2 linked regions of the Anolis sagrei genome follow. Each later gene encodes a partner of the first gene's protein in a complex. Links are inferred from orthologs where the notes say so. Each region holds a gene or a part of one and is shown on either strand. Other genes may lie near its edges.

Region 1 (7,144 bases):
GGGAAGTTGGCGATCTAATCTCCCTGGGGAGTGAGTTCCACAGGTGGGGGGCCACCACTGAGAAGGCCCTGCTCCTCGTCCCCAACAGCCTCACTTGTGACAGTGGCGGGGTCGAGAGCAGGACCTCCCCAGATGATCTTAAACTCCGAGGTGGGACGTAGAGGGAGATCCGTTCGGACAAATACACTGGGCCGGAACTGTATAGGGTTTTGTAGGTCAAAACCAGCACTTTGAATTGTGCTCGGAATTGGATCGGCAGCCAGTGGAGCTGACGCAACAGGGGGGTGGTATGCTCCCTGTACGCCGCTCCGGTGAGCAATCTGGCTGCTTCTCGCTGGACTAGTTGAAGTTTCCGAGCAGTCTTCAAAGGCAACCCCACGTAGAGTGCGTTGCAGTAATCCAGTCGGGATGTAACAAGAGCGTGGACCACCGTGGCCAAGTCCGACTTCCCAAGGTACGGGCGCAGCTGACGCACAAGTTTTAGTTGTGCAAAAGCTCTCCCGGCCACCGCTGAGACTTGGGGTTCCAGGCTCAGCGATGAGTCCAGGATCACTCCCAAGCTGCGAACCTGCGTCTTCAGGGGGAGTGGAACCCCGTCTAACACAGGCTGTAACCCTATGCCCTGTTCGGCCTTACGACTGACCAGTAGGACCTCTGTCTTGTCTGGATTCAATTTCAATGTGTTAGCTCTCATCCAGTCCGACACAGCAGCTAAACACCGGTTCAAGGTCTGGACAGCCTCCTTGGTGACAGGTAAGAAGGAGTGACAGATTTGGACGTCATCTGCATAGAGGTAACATCTTAGTCCGAAACTCCGAATGATCTCTCCCAGCAGCTTCATGAAGATGTTAAATAACATTGGGGACAGGATTGAACCCTGTGGGACTCTACACAGCAACGGTTGCGGAGCCGAACAGGTGTCACCCAATAACACCTTCTGGGTCAGTCCCTCAAGGAAGGATCGGAGCCACCGCAGAGCAGTGCCTCCGAGCCCCATGTCCATGAGGCACCCTCCAGAAGGATACCATGATCGACGGTATCGAAGGCCGCTGAGAGGTCCAGCAGAACTAACAGGGACACACTCCCCCTGTCCAGCTCCCCGTGAAGATCATCTACCAAGGCGACCAAGGCTGTTTCCATTCCATGTCCCGGTCTAAAGCCAGACTGTGCCGGATCAAGATAATCAGTGTCTACCAGGAACCCCTGGAGTTGTGTTGCCACCACACGTTCCAGGACTTTGCCCAAATAGGGGAGATTGGAAACTGGCCGATAGTTGTCGAATTGAGTGGGATCCAGTGATGGTTTCTTCAACAGCGGTTTTATAATAGCTTGTTTTAAGCTCGCTGGAAATTTTCCTTCCTGTAAGGAGGTATTAACCATCACCTTCACCCACTCTGCCAAACCCCCTCAAAATCATAATAGCCACAAAATAATAATTTAGACTTTGTTGTTATGGTTGTGTATACCTTGGGATACTTCTGGCAAAAATTGGTATGATAAGAAACAAAGATGGCAGGGACCTAACAGAAGCTGAAGAGATCAAGAGAAGGTGGCAAGACTATAGAGAAGATCTGTATAGGAAGGATAATAATATTGAGGTTAGTTTTGACGGTGTGGTGAATGAATTAGAACCAGACATCCTGAGGAGTGAGGTTGAATGGGCCTTAAAAAGCATTGCTAACAACAAGGCAGCAGGAGACGACGGGATCCCAGCTGAACTGTTTAAAATCTTAAAAGATGATGCTGTCAAGGTGATGCATGCCATTTGCCAGCAAATATGGAAAACACAAGAATGGCCATCAGACTGGAAAAAATCAACTTATATCCCCATACCAAAAAAGGGAAATGCGAAAGACTGCTCCAACTTCCGTACAGTGGCCCTTATTTCTCATGCCAGTAAGGTAATGCTCAAGATCCTGCAAGGAAGACTCCAGCAATACATGGAGCGAGAGTTGCCAGATGTTCAAGCTGGGTTTAGAAAAGGCAGAGGAACGAGAGACCAGATTGCCAATATCCGATGGATAATGGAGAAAGGCAGGGAGTTTCAGAAAAACATCTACTTCTGCTTCATTGACTATTCTAAAGCCTTTGACTGTGTGGATCATAATAAATTGTGGCAAGTTCTTGGTGGGATGGGCATCCCAAGCCCCCTTCCCCCTCTCCTGAGGAATCTGTACAAGGACCAAGTAGCCACAGTCAGAACTGGCCACGGAACAGGAGACGGGCTCAAGATTGGGAAAGGCGTCCGGCAAGGCTGCATCCTCTCACCCAACCTTTTAAACTTGTATGCAGAACACATCATGCGAGGATGTGCGGGGCTGGATGAATGCAAAGCTGGGGTGAAAATTGCTGGAAGAAACATTAACAACCTCAGATATGCAGATGACACCACTCTGATGGTCGAAAGCGAGGAGGAGCTGAGGAGCCTTCTAATCAAGGCGAAAGAAGAAAGCGCAAAAGCCGGGTTGCAGCTGAACGTCAAAAAAACCAAGATTATGGCAACAAGAATGATTGACAACTGGGAAATAGAGGGAGAAAATGTGGAGGCCGTGACAGACTTTGTATTTCTAGGTGCAAAGATTACTGCAGATGCAGACTGAGGCCAGGAAATCAGAAGACGCTTCCTTCTTGGGAGGAGAGCAATGTCCAGTCTCGATAAAATAGTAAAGAGTAGAGACATCAGACTGGCAACAAAGATCCGCCTAGTCAAAGCCATGGTCTTCCCTGTAGTAACCTACGATGGGAGAGCTGGACCTTAGGGAAGGCTGAGCGAAGGAAGAGAGATGCTTTTGAGCTGTGGTGTTGGAGGAAAGTTCTGAGAGTGCCTTGGACTGCGAGAAGATCCAACCAGTCCATCCTCCAGGAAATAAAGCCCGACTGCTCATTGGAGGGAAGGAGATGAGAGGCAAAGCTGAAGTCCTTTGGCCACATCATGAGGAGACAGCAAAGCCTGGAGAAGACAATTATGCTGGGGAAAGTGGAAGGCAAAAGGAAGAGGGGCCGACCAAGGGCAAGATGGATGGGTGGCATCCTTGAAGTGACTGGACTGACCTTGAGGGAGCTGGGGGTGGTAACGGCCGACAGGGAGCTCTGGCGTAGGCTGGTCCATGAGGTCACGAAGAGTCGGAGACGACTGAACGAATGAACAACATACCTTGGGAAGGGGTCCACAAAAAAGGAGAAATCGTTCTCCTTCCACGAGCAGACCTTAACTCTCAAAAAAGTAACCTTTCTGCAAGAGGACTAACTTTGCGCATGCGTACAAGGCGCATTAGAGAACAGACACACAGAAAGGGCTCGCTTTGCGCATGCGTAGAAGGCGCGTTAGAAATAAATAATATATTTAAATAAATAATATAATATAAAATAATTATTATTCTTGATTATATGATAATAAATAATATATTTAAATAAATAAATAATATAAAATAATAATTATTATATAAATAATTAAATAATTATTAATTAAATAAATAAATAATTTTAATTAAATAAATAAATAAATAAATATTTATTATTTATTATTAATTAAATAAATAAATAATTTTAAAAACCACACAGAAAGGGCTAACTTTGCGCATGCGTAGAAGTCCAGTTCGCGAACACAAGAAAGGGCTAACTTTGCGCATGCGTACAAGGCCTCATGAGCGAACACAGAAAGGGCTAACTTTGCGCATGCGTAGAAGTCCAGTTCGCGAACAAGAAAGGGCTAACTTTGCGCATGCGCATGCGTAGAAGACGCGTTAGCGAACAGAGCTAACTTTGTGCGTGCGTAGAAGTCGAGTTCGCGAACACAAGAAAGGGCTAACTTTGCGCATGCGTACAAGGTGCGTTTGCGAACCCACACACAGAAAGGGCCAACTTTGCGCATGCGTAGAAGACGCGTTAGCGAACAGAGCTAACTTTGCGCGTGCGTAGAAGTCGAGTCCGTGAACACAAGAAAGGGCTAACTTTGCGCATGCGTACAAGGTGTATTAACGAATAGAAAGGGCTCGCTGTGCGCATGCGTTGAAGGCGCGTTAGCTACCACACAGAAAGGGTTAACTGTGCGCATGCGTACAAGGTGCGTTCGCGAATCCACACACAGAAAGGGCCAACTTTGCGCATGCGTAGAAGACGCGTTAGCGAACAGAGCTGACTGTGCGTAGAAGTCGAGTTCGCGAACACAAGAAAGGGCTAACTCTGCGCATGCGTACAAGGCCTCAGGAGCGAAGACAGAAAGGGCTAACTGTTCGCATGCATACACACAGAGAAAAGGCTAACTTTGCGCATGCGTAGACGACGCGTTTGCGAACACCCAGAAAGGGCTGCTTTTGCGCATGCGTACAAGGCGCGTTAGTCAGCTAGGCTGAGTCGAGCGTCGGCGTCGTCGCCACGGCAACGTCGGCGGCGTCCCTCCTGGCGACGCGGTCTCCCCTGGCAACGAGGCCTAGTCTGAGGCGGGATGAAGGCGGCGTCGGCGTCGGCGGGCGAGGATGGCGGCGGCGAGGAGGGGGCCGCGGGTGCCGAGGCGAGGCCGGAGTCGGAGGGCCAGGGCAGCAGCAAGGGCGGCGAGGCGGCGGCGGAGGGCGGGGCGAGCGCCACCCCGCAGCGCATCTTCGTCCCCAACATCAACTCCGACGACCCCGAGGAGCGCATCGCCGCCCGACGGCTCCGCATCGCCGCCCGCCTCGAGGCCAAGCGCAGGTCCGCCTCACCTGCCTCAGAGAAACTGATCCTAGGAGTCCACACTGCCCCATATAATCCCGTTCAGAGCAGACAGCCTGGGTTTCCTAGGGCAGTGTATCCCAGCATCCCGTCCCAGATTATTTATTTGTTTACGACTTTTATATCCCCCACTTCTCACCCCCATGGGGACTCAGAGCGGCTTACAAGTTATCCCTACATACAATATATTATATATTATTAGCATAGCACTTTATTTATTTATTTATTTATTTAAATATATTATTTATTGTATTGTCGAAGGCTTTCATGGCTGGAATCACTCGGTTCTTGTGGGTTTTTTCAGGCTATATGGCCATGTTCTAGAGGCATTTCTCCTGACGTTTCGCCTGCATCTATGGCAAGCATCCTCAGAAGTAGTTCTGAGGATGCTTGCCATAGATGCCGGCGAAACGTCAGGAGACATGCCTCTAGAGAACATGGCTCTATAGCCCGAAAAAACCCACAAGAACCTATATTATTTATTATTATATAATAAATAATAATTATTTTATTTATTTATTTAAATATGTTATTTATTATCATATAATCAAGAATAATAATTATGTTACATTATTTATTTATTTAAATATGTTATTTATTATCATATAATCAAGAATAATAATATGTTACATTATTTATTTATTTAAACATGTTATTTATTATAATATAATCAAGAATAATAATTTATTTATTTATTATTTATTTGCTTCAGGCAACTCAGAGCGGTTAACAATCAGTATCAACAACACAATACAAAATCATTAGTCATTTAAAACAGTAATATCAATTAATTAACATCAAAACATCAATACAACAATACAGCAAAATAACAATCCATCACGTCTCATCAATAGAATCAGCAACCAATCTCATTGTCCATTAATCCATATTCCAATAATCAATCAAGTGCACTGCTTAGTTGAAAACCTGTTCAAAGAGCCAGGTCTTCACTCTCCTCCGGAATGCCAATAAGGAGGGGGCCGATCTGATGTCTGTAGGAAGGGTGTTCCACAGCCAAGGGGCCACTACTGAGAAGGCCCTCCGGAATGTCTCTCGTCCCCGCCAAGCGTGCTTGCGGAGCAGACAGGATCGAGAGCAGGGCCTCCTCAGATGATCTTAACTTCCTGGGTTCGTAGGAAGAGATGCGTTCGGATAGGTAGGCTGGCCAGAACCGTTTAGAGCTTTAAAGGCTAAAGCCAGCACTTTCAATTGGGCCCGGGAGCAAACTGGCAGCCAGTGGAGCTGATGCAGCAGAGGAGTGGTATGCTTCCTGAGCGCCACTCCTGTTAACAACCTGGCTGCCGCACGCTGGACCATTTGAAGCTTCCGGGCCGTCTTCAAAGGCAACCCCATGTAGAGTGCGTTGCAGTAATCTATACGTGATGTAACCAGAGCGTCGACTACCGTGGCCAAGTCAGACTTCCCAAGGTACGGGTGCAGCTGGCACACAAGTTTTAGTTGTGCAAATGCTCCCCTGGTCACTGCCGAAACCTGGGGTTCCAGGCTCAGCGATGAGTCCAGGGTCACACCCAAGCTGCGAACCTGCGTCTTCAGGGGGAGTGCGGCCCCATCCAACACAGGCTGTAACCCTATGCCCTGTTCGGCCTTTATGCCAGCCACATGACCTTGGAGGTGTCTATGGAGAATGCTGGCTGTTCAGTTTAGAAATGGAGATGAGCACCACACCCCAGAGTCAGGCATGACTGGACTTAATGTCAGGGGACAACCTTTACCCTTTTATTATTTATTTATTTATTTAAATATATTACATAGGTTTTTAAATCTTTGTGTGTTATTGTTTATATGTGAGTTATATTAATTGTATTGTTTTATTTGGTTATTGCTTTTTCTTTTTACTGATGTATTGTTGGGCTTGGCCTCATGTAAGCCACTCTGAGTCCCCTTGGAGAGATGGTGGCGGGGTATAAATAAAGTTTTACTATTTTATTATTATTATTACTTTATTACTTACTTATTTATTATTTATTTATTTACTATATTTGTTTACTGCTCTTCTCAGCCCTCAGGGCGACTCGGAGCAGTTAACAAAGCAAATACAATACTTAAACATGATAAAACAGTTAAAAACAAGTTAAAAGAATAACATTATAACAATCAATAAACATAACATCTCATCTCATCTCATCTCATAGTTAAAATCAAGATCCAGTCTCATCATCCAAACGTTCCATATTTCTATATTAGTTACACTGCCTACTTAGCTGATCCCTTGTTGTTCCAGTAAGATTGTCCTCCAAGTACGGTGTCTTGGCGGTGGGTCCGTAGGTGGCTGTGGACCCCTATTCTTGATCCGCATCTTCTCCCGCAGTGAGGACATCTGAAGGCGGTCCCAGTCAGGGTTGGCTTGACCCGCCTTCCTCTTGGCACGTTTCTCCCTTTCACCCTCCATTCATGCCTCTTTAAATTCTACAGCACT
Region 2 (7,324 bases), on another chromosome or scaffold:
CACTCCGGGTTTTACTTTGGACTTCAAAGGAGTCTTCTAAGGTGCTGAATGGCTGCTAGAGGCTCAGGACCTTGGAAAGCTCCTTGAAGGTATGAGGTAAAACTGGGACTGGATTCCCCATTTCACTGACATGGGGCCCACTGTTGTGTACCATTGTTGTTATTTTGACTGTTTTGTTTTGCCCTGGTTTTATAGGTCTCAAATGAGTCCCTTTATGAAGATAAAAAATGGGATTAATATAAAATAGATTAAAAATATTGCCTTTTAATAATGTATTTTAATGCTGGTATTATAGGAATTTGGTTTGCCTCAACATTTAAAAAAATGACTCCATTCTGTACAATTAGGTTTTTTCTCACAACTAAATTTTCAGTATAGTGTAGGTTGAGGCTCTTTCATCTGAAATGTTTTTAATATGTTTATTTCTGTTCACATTTGGGACTTTGGAGGATTTTGAAATATGTATCTTTGCTGGGTTGTTGTAGGTTTTTTTAGGCTATGTGGCCATGTTCTAGAGGCATTCTCTCCTGACGTTTTGCCTGCATCTATTGCAAGCATCCTCAGAGTTTGTGAGACCTCACAACCTCTGAAAATGCTTGCCATAGATGGAGGCGAAACATCAGGAGATAATGCTTCTAGAACATAGTCATTTATTGTACTTTATTACATATATTATAAATATATATATTATATATATAATTATATATTATATAATTATAATCATTATTGAGCACTCTAACTGGAGATCAGCTGTGACCAGCAGTGCTGCAGAATTCAAAGGCACGAATGGAGGGCGAAAGGGAGAAAGGTGACAAGAGTAAGGCATGTCAAGCCAACCCAGACTGGGACCACCTTCTGCCTGGAAACCAATGTCCTCACTGCAGGAGAACATGCAAACAAGAATAGGTCTCCAAAGCCACCTATAGACCCACCACCAAGACACTACACTAGAAGGACCATCATCCTCGGGCTACAAGGGATTGCATAACTAAGTAAATATTATAATATTATATATTATATAATAATTTTCTTGGAGCTGTCGTCCAGTGAAGATCATGTCTACTGTTCCTCTGGAGGGTCGGAAGCCATTCTGAGATTCTGGTAGGGTGTCTTCCCAGGTAAAAGGTGGTTTCCAAAGATTCTTGCAAGGATTTTCCCACTGGAGGTCAGAAGGGAGATGCATCTGTTGTTTCCCCTTTTTTGAAAAGGGTGATGATGGTGACATCCTTGAAGTCTTCTTGGATTTTCTTAGTCATCCACATGTTTTCAATGAACTGGTGGATTTGTTGTATTAGCTCAGGTACACCCTCTTTAAAGATCTCAGCAGGGATCCCATCAGGTCCACTGGCTATGTTATGTTTTTGTTGGCTGGACGTTGCTGACTTCCTCCAAACCAGGCAGGGCTGCAAGCTCATCCCTGGTTAGTTGTTGTGGGATTTGTGAGAGAACAAATCAGGAGGTTGTGGTAGTGCTCTTTCTAACGTAGTGCAATTGATTTTTTGTCCTTCAGAAGTTTGGTTCCATCTGATGAGTGTAGGAGGGTGTATGCCATGATTTCTTGGTCTGTAATTACCTTTGTGGCTTTAAAAAAATCCCTGAGCATCATGGATATCTGTACAAGGAATCTGTACAAGGACCAAGTAGCAACAGTAAGAACTGACCACGGAACAACAGACTGGTTCAAGATTGGGAAAGGCGTACGGCCAGGCTGCATACTCTCACCCAATCTTTTTGCAGAACACATCATGCAATGTATGCAGAACACATCATGCAATGTGCGGGGCTTGATGAATGCAAAGCTGGGGTGAAAATTGCTGGAAGAAACATTAACAACCTCAGATATGCAGATGACACCACTCTGATGGCCGAAAGCGAGGAGGAGCTGAGGAGCCTTCTAATCAAGGTGAAAGAAGAAAGCGCATAAGCTGGGTTGCAGCTAAACGTCAAAAAAACCAAGATTATGGCAACAAGAATGATTGACAACTGGAAAATAGAGGAAGAAATCGTGGAGGCCGTGACAGACTTTGTATTTCTAGGTGCAAAGATAACTGCAGATGCAGACTGTGGCCAGGAAATCAGAAGACGCTTACTTCTTGGGAGGAGAGCAATGTCCAGTCTCGATAAAATAGTGAAGAGTAGAGACATCAGACTGGCAACAAAGATCCGCCTAGTCAAAGCCATGGTATTCCCTGTAGTAACCTACGGATGTGAGAGCTGGACTTTAGGGAAGGCTGGGCGAAGGAAGATAGATGCTTTTGAACTGAGGTGCTGGAGGAAAGTTCTGAGAGTGCCTTGGACTGCGAGAAGATCCAACCAGTCCATCCTCCAGGAAATAAAGCCCGGCTGCTCACTGGAGGGAAGGAGACTAGAGACAAAGTTGAAGTACTTTGGTCACATCATGAGGAGACAGCAAAGCCTGGAGAAGACAATTATGCTGGGGAAAGTGGAAGGCAAAAGGAAGAGGGGCCGACCAAGGGCAAGATGGATGGATGGCATCCTTGAAGTGACTGGACTGACCTTGAAGGAGCTGGGGGCAGTGATGGCCAACAGGGAGCTCTGGTGTGGGCTGGTCCTTGAGGTCACGAAGCGTCAGAGACGACTGAACGAATGAACAACAACAACATCATGGATATCTGCAAAGTGTTGGATTTCTTCATTGAACATCGAGAAAACCAAAGTGCTCTTCCAGCAGTTACCTGCCAATCCCTCTGCAATGCCAGAAATACAGCTTAATGGTGTAACATTACCTTGGCCGCCACCTCTCCACAAAAGTCAACACTGACCCTGAAATACAACACCACCTGAGCTCTGCAAGTGCAGCATTTTTCCAAATGAAGCAGAGAGTGTTTCAGGATTGGGACATCTGTAGGGAGACCAAGGTGCTCACTATGAAATGCAGTTGTTTCATACTTTATAATACTTTATTACAATTGATTACATATATTATGTGATATTATAATATATAATAATATAAAATTATTAGATATATAATATATTGTTATTATATATGATATTATTTTTTGTTTATTTCGTATCAAAAGCATTGCATAAATTAGTAAAAAAAAACTACATTACTGCATAAATTAGAAAGATACTCCACTTTGGCAGGAAAAACGAAATGCAAAGATACAGAATGGGGGATGATGCCTGGCTTGAGAGCAATACGTGTGAAAAAGATCTTGGAGTCCTCGTGGACAACAAGTTAAACATGAGCCAACAATGTGATGTGGCGGCAAAAAAAGCCAATGGGATTTTGGCCTGCATCAATAGGAGCATAGTGTCTAGATCTAGGGAAGTCATGCTACCCCTCTATTCCGCTTTGGTTAGACCACACCTGGAATATTGTGTCCAATTCTGGGCCCACAATTGAAGAGAGATATTGACAAGCTGGAATGTGTCCAGGGGAGAGCGACTAAAATGATAAAAGATCTGGAGAACAAGCCCTATGAGGAGCGGCTTAAGGAGCTGGGCATGTTTAGCCTGAAGAAGAGAAGGCTGAGAGGGGATATGATAGCCATGTATAAATACGTGAGAGGAAGCCACAGGGAGGAGGGAGCAAGCTTGTTTTCTGCTTCCCTGGAGACTAGGACGCAAAACAATGGCTTCAAACTACAAGAGAGGAGATTCCACCTGAACATGAGGAAGAACTTCCTGACTGTGAGAGCCGTTCAGCAGTGGAACTCTCTGCCCCGGAGTGTGGTGGAGGCTCCTTCTTTGGAAGCTTTTAAACAGAGGCTGGATGGCCATCTGTCAGGGGTGATTTGAATGCAATATTCCTGCTTCTTGGTAGAAAGGGGTTGGACTGGATGGCCCATGAGGTCTCTTCCAACTCTTTGATTCTATGATTCTATGACTACATTATATATTATTATGTATGCTATTATATATTATAATATATAATAATATAATATATATAATATATGAAATCAGTTAAAATATAATCATACTTATAAAGTATTATAATATATTATGAGCATGCTTATATTTTAATGGATTATATCCAAAATGTAATATTATTATATGTAATAATATACAATACCATAATAATATATATTATAATATTATATAGAATAATATTATCTTATGTAAAACAATAATATCATTATTATAATATAAGGAAATTCTGCATATAATATTTTAAATAGTTTTTTGGGCATGAATCAAAGCTTGTGTCCATTGTAGGAGCCAATTGGTATCAGATGAAGAGCCAAAGGGTGAAAAAAAACACCCTCCTTCTCCCTGTAACTAGGGGCGGGGCCTCGTTGCTAGGGGCGCGGCTTCTTGGCCAAGGGCGGAGCCGAGGCTCTCGCGAGATTTGGGCTACGGTTGCTTGGCAACCAGAAGACTCTGGGCCTAGTCTTCTAGAGAGACACTGAAGCCGTCACCATGGTGAGTCTGTCCAGTGGGAGGGAGAGAGTTGTGATGATGATGATGATGATGATGATGTAGGTTGTGTATATGGCCCACCTTAGTAGCTGAGAGAGTGGCTATGTCGTGGTTTGAGGGTTGAGAGAACAGGGGAAGCCACACTGTCAAATTAATGCGGATTGATTCCACTTCAGCGTCTTTAGCTCCATGCTATGGAGTCATTGGAGTTGTAGTTTGCAATCTTTGGGCAGAGAAGGCCTTGTGAAACTTCGACCCTTTCTACACTGCCATAGAATCCAGATTATCAAAGCAGAAAATCCACATTATTTGCTTTGAACTGGATTGTATGAATCTACACTGCCATAGAATCTAGATTATCAAAGCAGACAATCCACAATACCTGCTTTGAATTGGATTATATGCAGCTACACTCCCATAGAATCCAGATTATCAAAGCAGACAATCCACATAATCTCTTTTGAACTGGATTTTATGTATCTACACTGCCATAGAATCCAGATGATCAAAGCAGGCAATCCACATTATCTGCTTTGAACTGGATTATATAAATCTATGTTGCCATATAATCCAGTTCAAATAAGATAATCTGGATTTTATATGGCAGCGTAGAAGGGGTCTATGACTCCCAGGAACCATAGCACTGAACTGTGGCCTTTCAAGTGGGGTTAAACCGCATTAATTTTTCAGTGTAGACAAACAGTTTTGGGATTTGTCATCCAAAGAGATATAATACAACAAAGATGGACTTGATGGATTCTGGGAACTGCTGCCTAAAAAGAAAAGAAAAAAGAATATAATAATAATAATAAAGCTTTATTTATATCCTTCCCTATCTCCCCGAGGGGACTCAGAGTGGTTTACAACAGATATCGGCAAACGTTCAATGCCATGAGAAGCTGAATAAAGACAAAACTAACCAACTCCCCAAATCCCAAAAACAAATCCACATCTACATCAAAAATAATAACACATTATACTGCAATATTGCTACTAATATTATATGTAATATATACTATACACTTATCATATTATTGTATATTATTATATTGTACTATATTATCAAACCACAATGTATATCATACACTACCAGTACAATATACTATTAGTATTATATAATATCCCAATTTGTTTTTAACAGTGTTGTAACTGCAAGGAGAGGCGGGTAATAAAATAATAATATTTATTATTATCATTCTTATGACATCCCATCTTTTCTGGTGGATGGAGCTCCTGATAGCGCAATGGGTTAAACCCCTGTGCTGGCAGGACTGCTGACCAAGAGGTCAACGGTTCAAATCTGGGAAGAGCGGGTTGAGCTCCCTCTGTCAGCTCCAGCTCCCCATGCGGGGACATGAGAGATGCCTCCCACAAGGATGCCTCCCACCAAACATCCAGGCGTCCCCTGGGTAATGTCCTTGCAGGCAGCCAATTCTTACACTAAAAGCGACTTGCAGTTTCTCAACTTGCTCCTGACATGGGAAAAAAAACCCTTTTCCGGCAACCTAGTCAACTTTGGACCATGAATTTTGGGGTTTGCATTCTCTTGCCATTGTATCTTGGTCCTTATACCATATGTTTTGGCGGATTTTGATATATGTATTTTGTTGTATGCGTTTTTGTTGATGTATTTTGACTTTTTATTATTGTTATTTTATTATTTTAAATCTTGCAGGCTAAATCTAAAAATATTCGCACACTAATCCAGGTGTGGGCAAACTTTGGCCCTAAAGGTGTTTTGTACTTCAACTCCCACAATTCTAACAGCGGTAGGCTGTTAGGAATTGTGGGAGTTGAAGTCCAAAACACCTGGAGGGTCAAAGTTTGCGCATGCCTGCACTAACCCAACAGATACATCTGTACATATACTAAACAAGCAACTACAGGAACAATTCTGTGAAGCTTACACTCATTAATGTGTTTTGACTGTGTTGTACCCTGCCTCAAGCCATTGGGAGAGGTAGGTAACAGGTACAATGTATTATTATTATTATTTTGTTATTGTTACTATTTTTTAATATTGCAGACTAAATCTAAAAAAAAAAATTGCACACTACCCCAAAACATACCTACACTAATGTACACAGACTGAACACACAACTACAGGAACAATTCTATGAACTCATACTCATTGTCTGTTGATTTTTATCTCTTACTAGCTTGGGTACCTGAGTTACTTGAAAAAGACATGGTTTGTTTTTGGATGTTATAAATGGACCAATTAGAAATTAGCAGGTTAACGGAGTTATCAGTTGTCTTTGGATGGGGTTAGCAGTACTCTTTGGATGAGGGTAAAGGAACTGCAAATCCCATTGTCCATGGACCATCTCCCCCAAACCTCAGCAGGACATAAAGTCTCATGAGGAGGTCTCTTTGCCAAAATTAGTCCAGGTCCATGGCTGATGGGGTCTGCAGCAGCCTCTGGATGTAGGTGAAGGAACTGCAACTCCCATCATCCAGGTCCTTCCCCCAAAAAGCACCACAAAGACTTAAAGTGGGTCATCGGGTATCTGTGTGCCAAGTTTGGTCCAGATCCATGGCTGATGGGGTTTGCGGTAGTCTCTGGATGCGGGTGAAGGTACTGCAAATCCCATCATCCATGGTCCATCCTCCCCAAACTTCATCAGGCTGTAAAATGGGTCATGGGGGGCCCTTCCAGACAGGCCCTATATTACAGGATCCAATCTCAGGTTTTCTGCTTATCTGGCAGTGAGGACTCATATAATCCAGGTTATATAACTGCCATAGATGTGGATGAAATGTCAGGAGAGAATGCTTCTGGGTTATAGGGCCTGTCTTGAAGGGCCCAGGGAGTCTGTATCCCAAGTTTGGTCCGGGTCCGTCATTGGAGGTCTGTGGAAGCCAAAGCAGTTGAAGGTACTCCAAATCCCATCGTCCATGGTGCATCCTCCTCCAAACATTACCAGGATGTAAAGTG

Evidence for each region. The genes of interacting proteins can lie anywhere in the genome.
Region 2: DRC1 (region 1) and GAS8 share a complex: the UniProt entries of both Homo sapiens proteins name them as parts of the nexin-dynein regulatory complex. The link is inferred for Anolis sagrei from reciprocal best matches to the Homo sapiens genes DRC1 and DRC4.

What each region holds. Positions count from the first base shown.
Region 1 is NC_090021.1:3,608,977-3,616,120, forward strand, and holds the start of DRC1 (dynein regulatory complex protein 1), read left to right. Parts: upstream 1-4,143; 5' UTR 4,144-4,444; coding exon 4,445-4,686; intron 4,687-7,144. UniProt on the Homo sapiens protein: Component of the nexin-dynein regulatory complex (N-DRC) a key regulator of ciliary/flagellar motility which maintains the alignment and integrity of the distal axoneme and regulates microtubule sliding in motile axonemes.
Region 2 is NC_090028.1:28,333,947-28,341,270, forward strand, and holds the start of GAS8 (dynein regulatory complex subunit 4), read left to right. Parts: upstream 1-4,302; 5' UTR 4,303-4,386; coding exon 4,387-4,389; intron 4,390-7,324. UniProt on the Homo sapiens protein: Component of the nexin-dynein regulatory complex (N-DRC), a key regulator of ciliary/flagellar motility which maintains the alignment and integrity of the distal axoneme and regulates microtubule sliding in motile axonemes.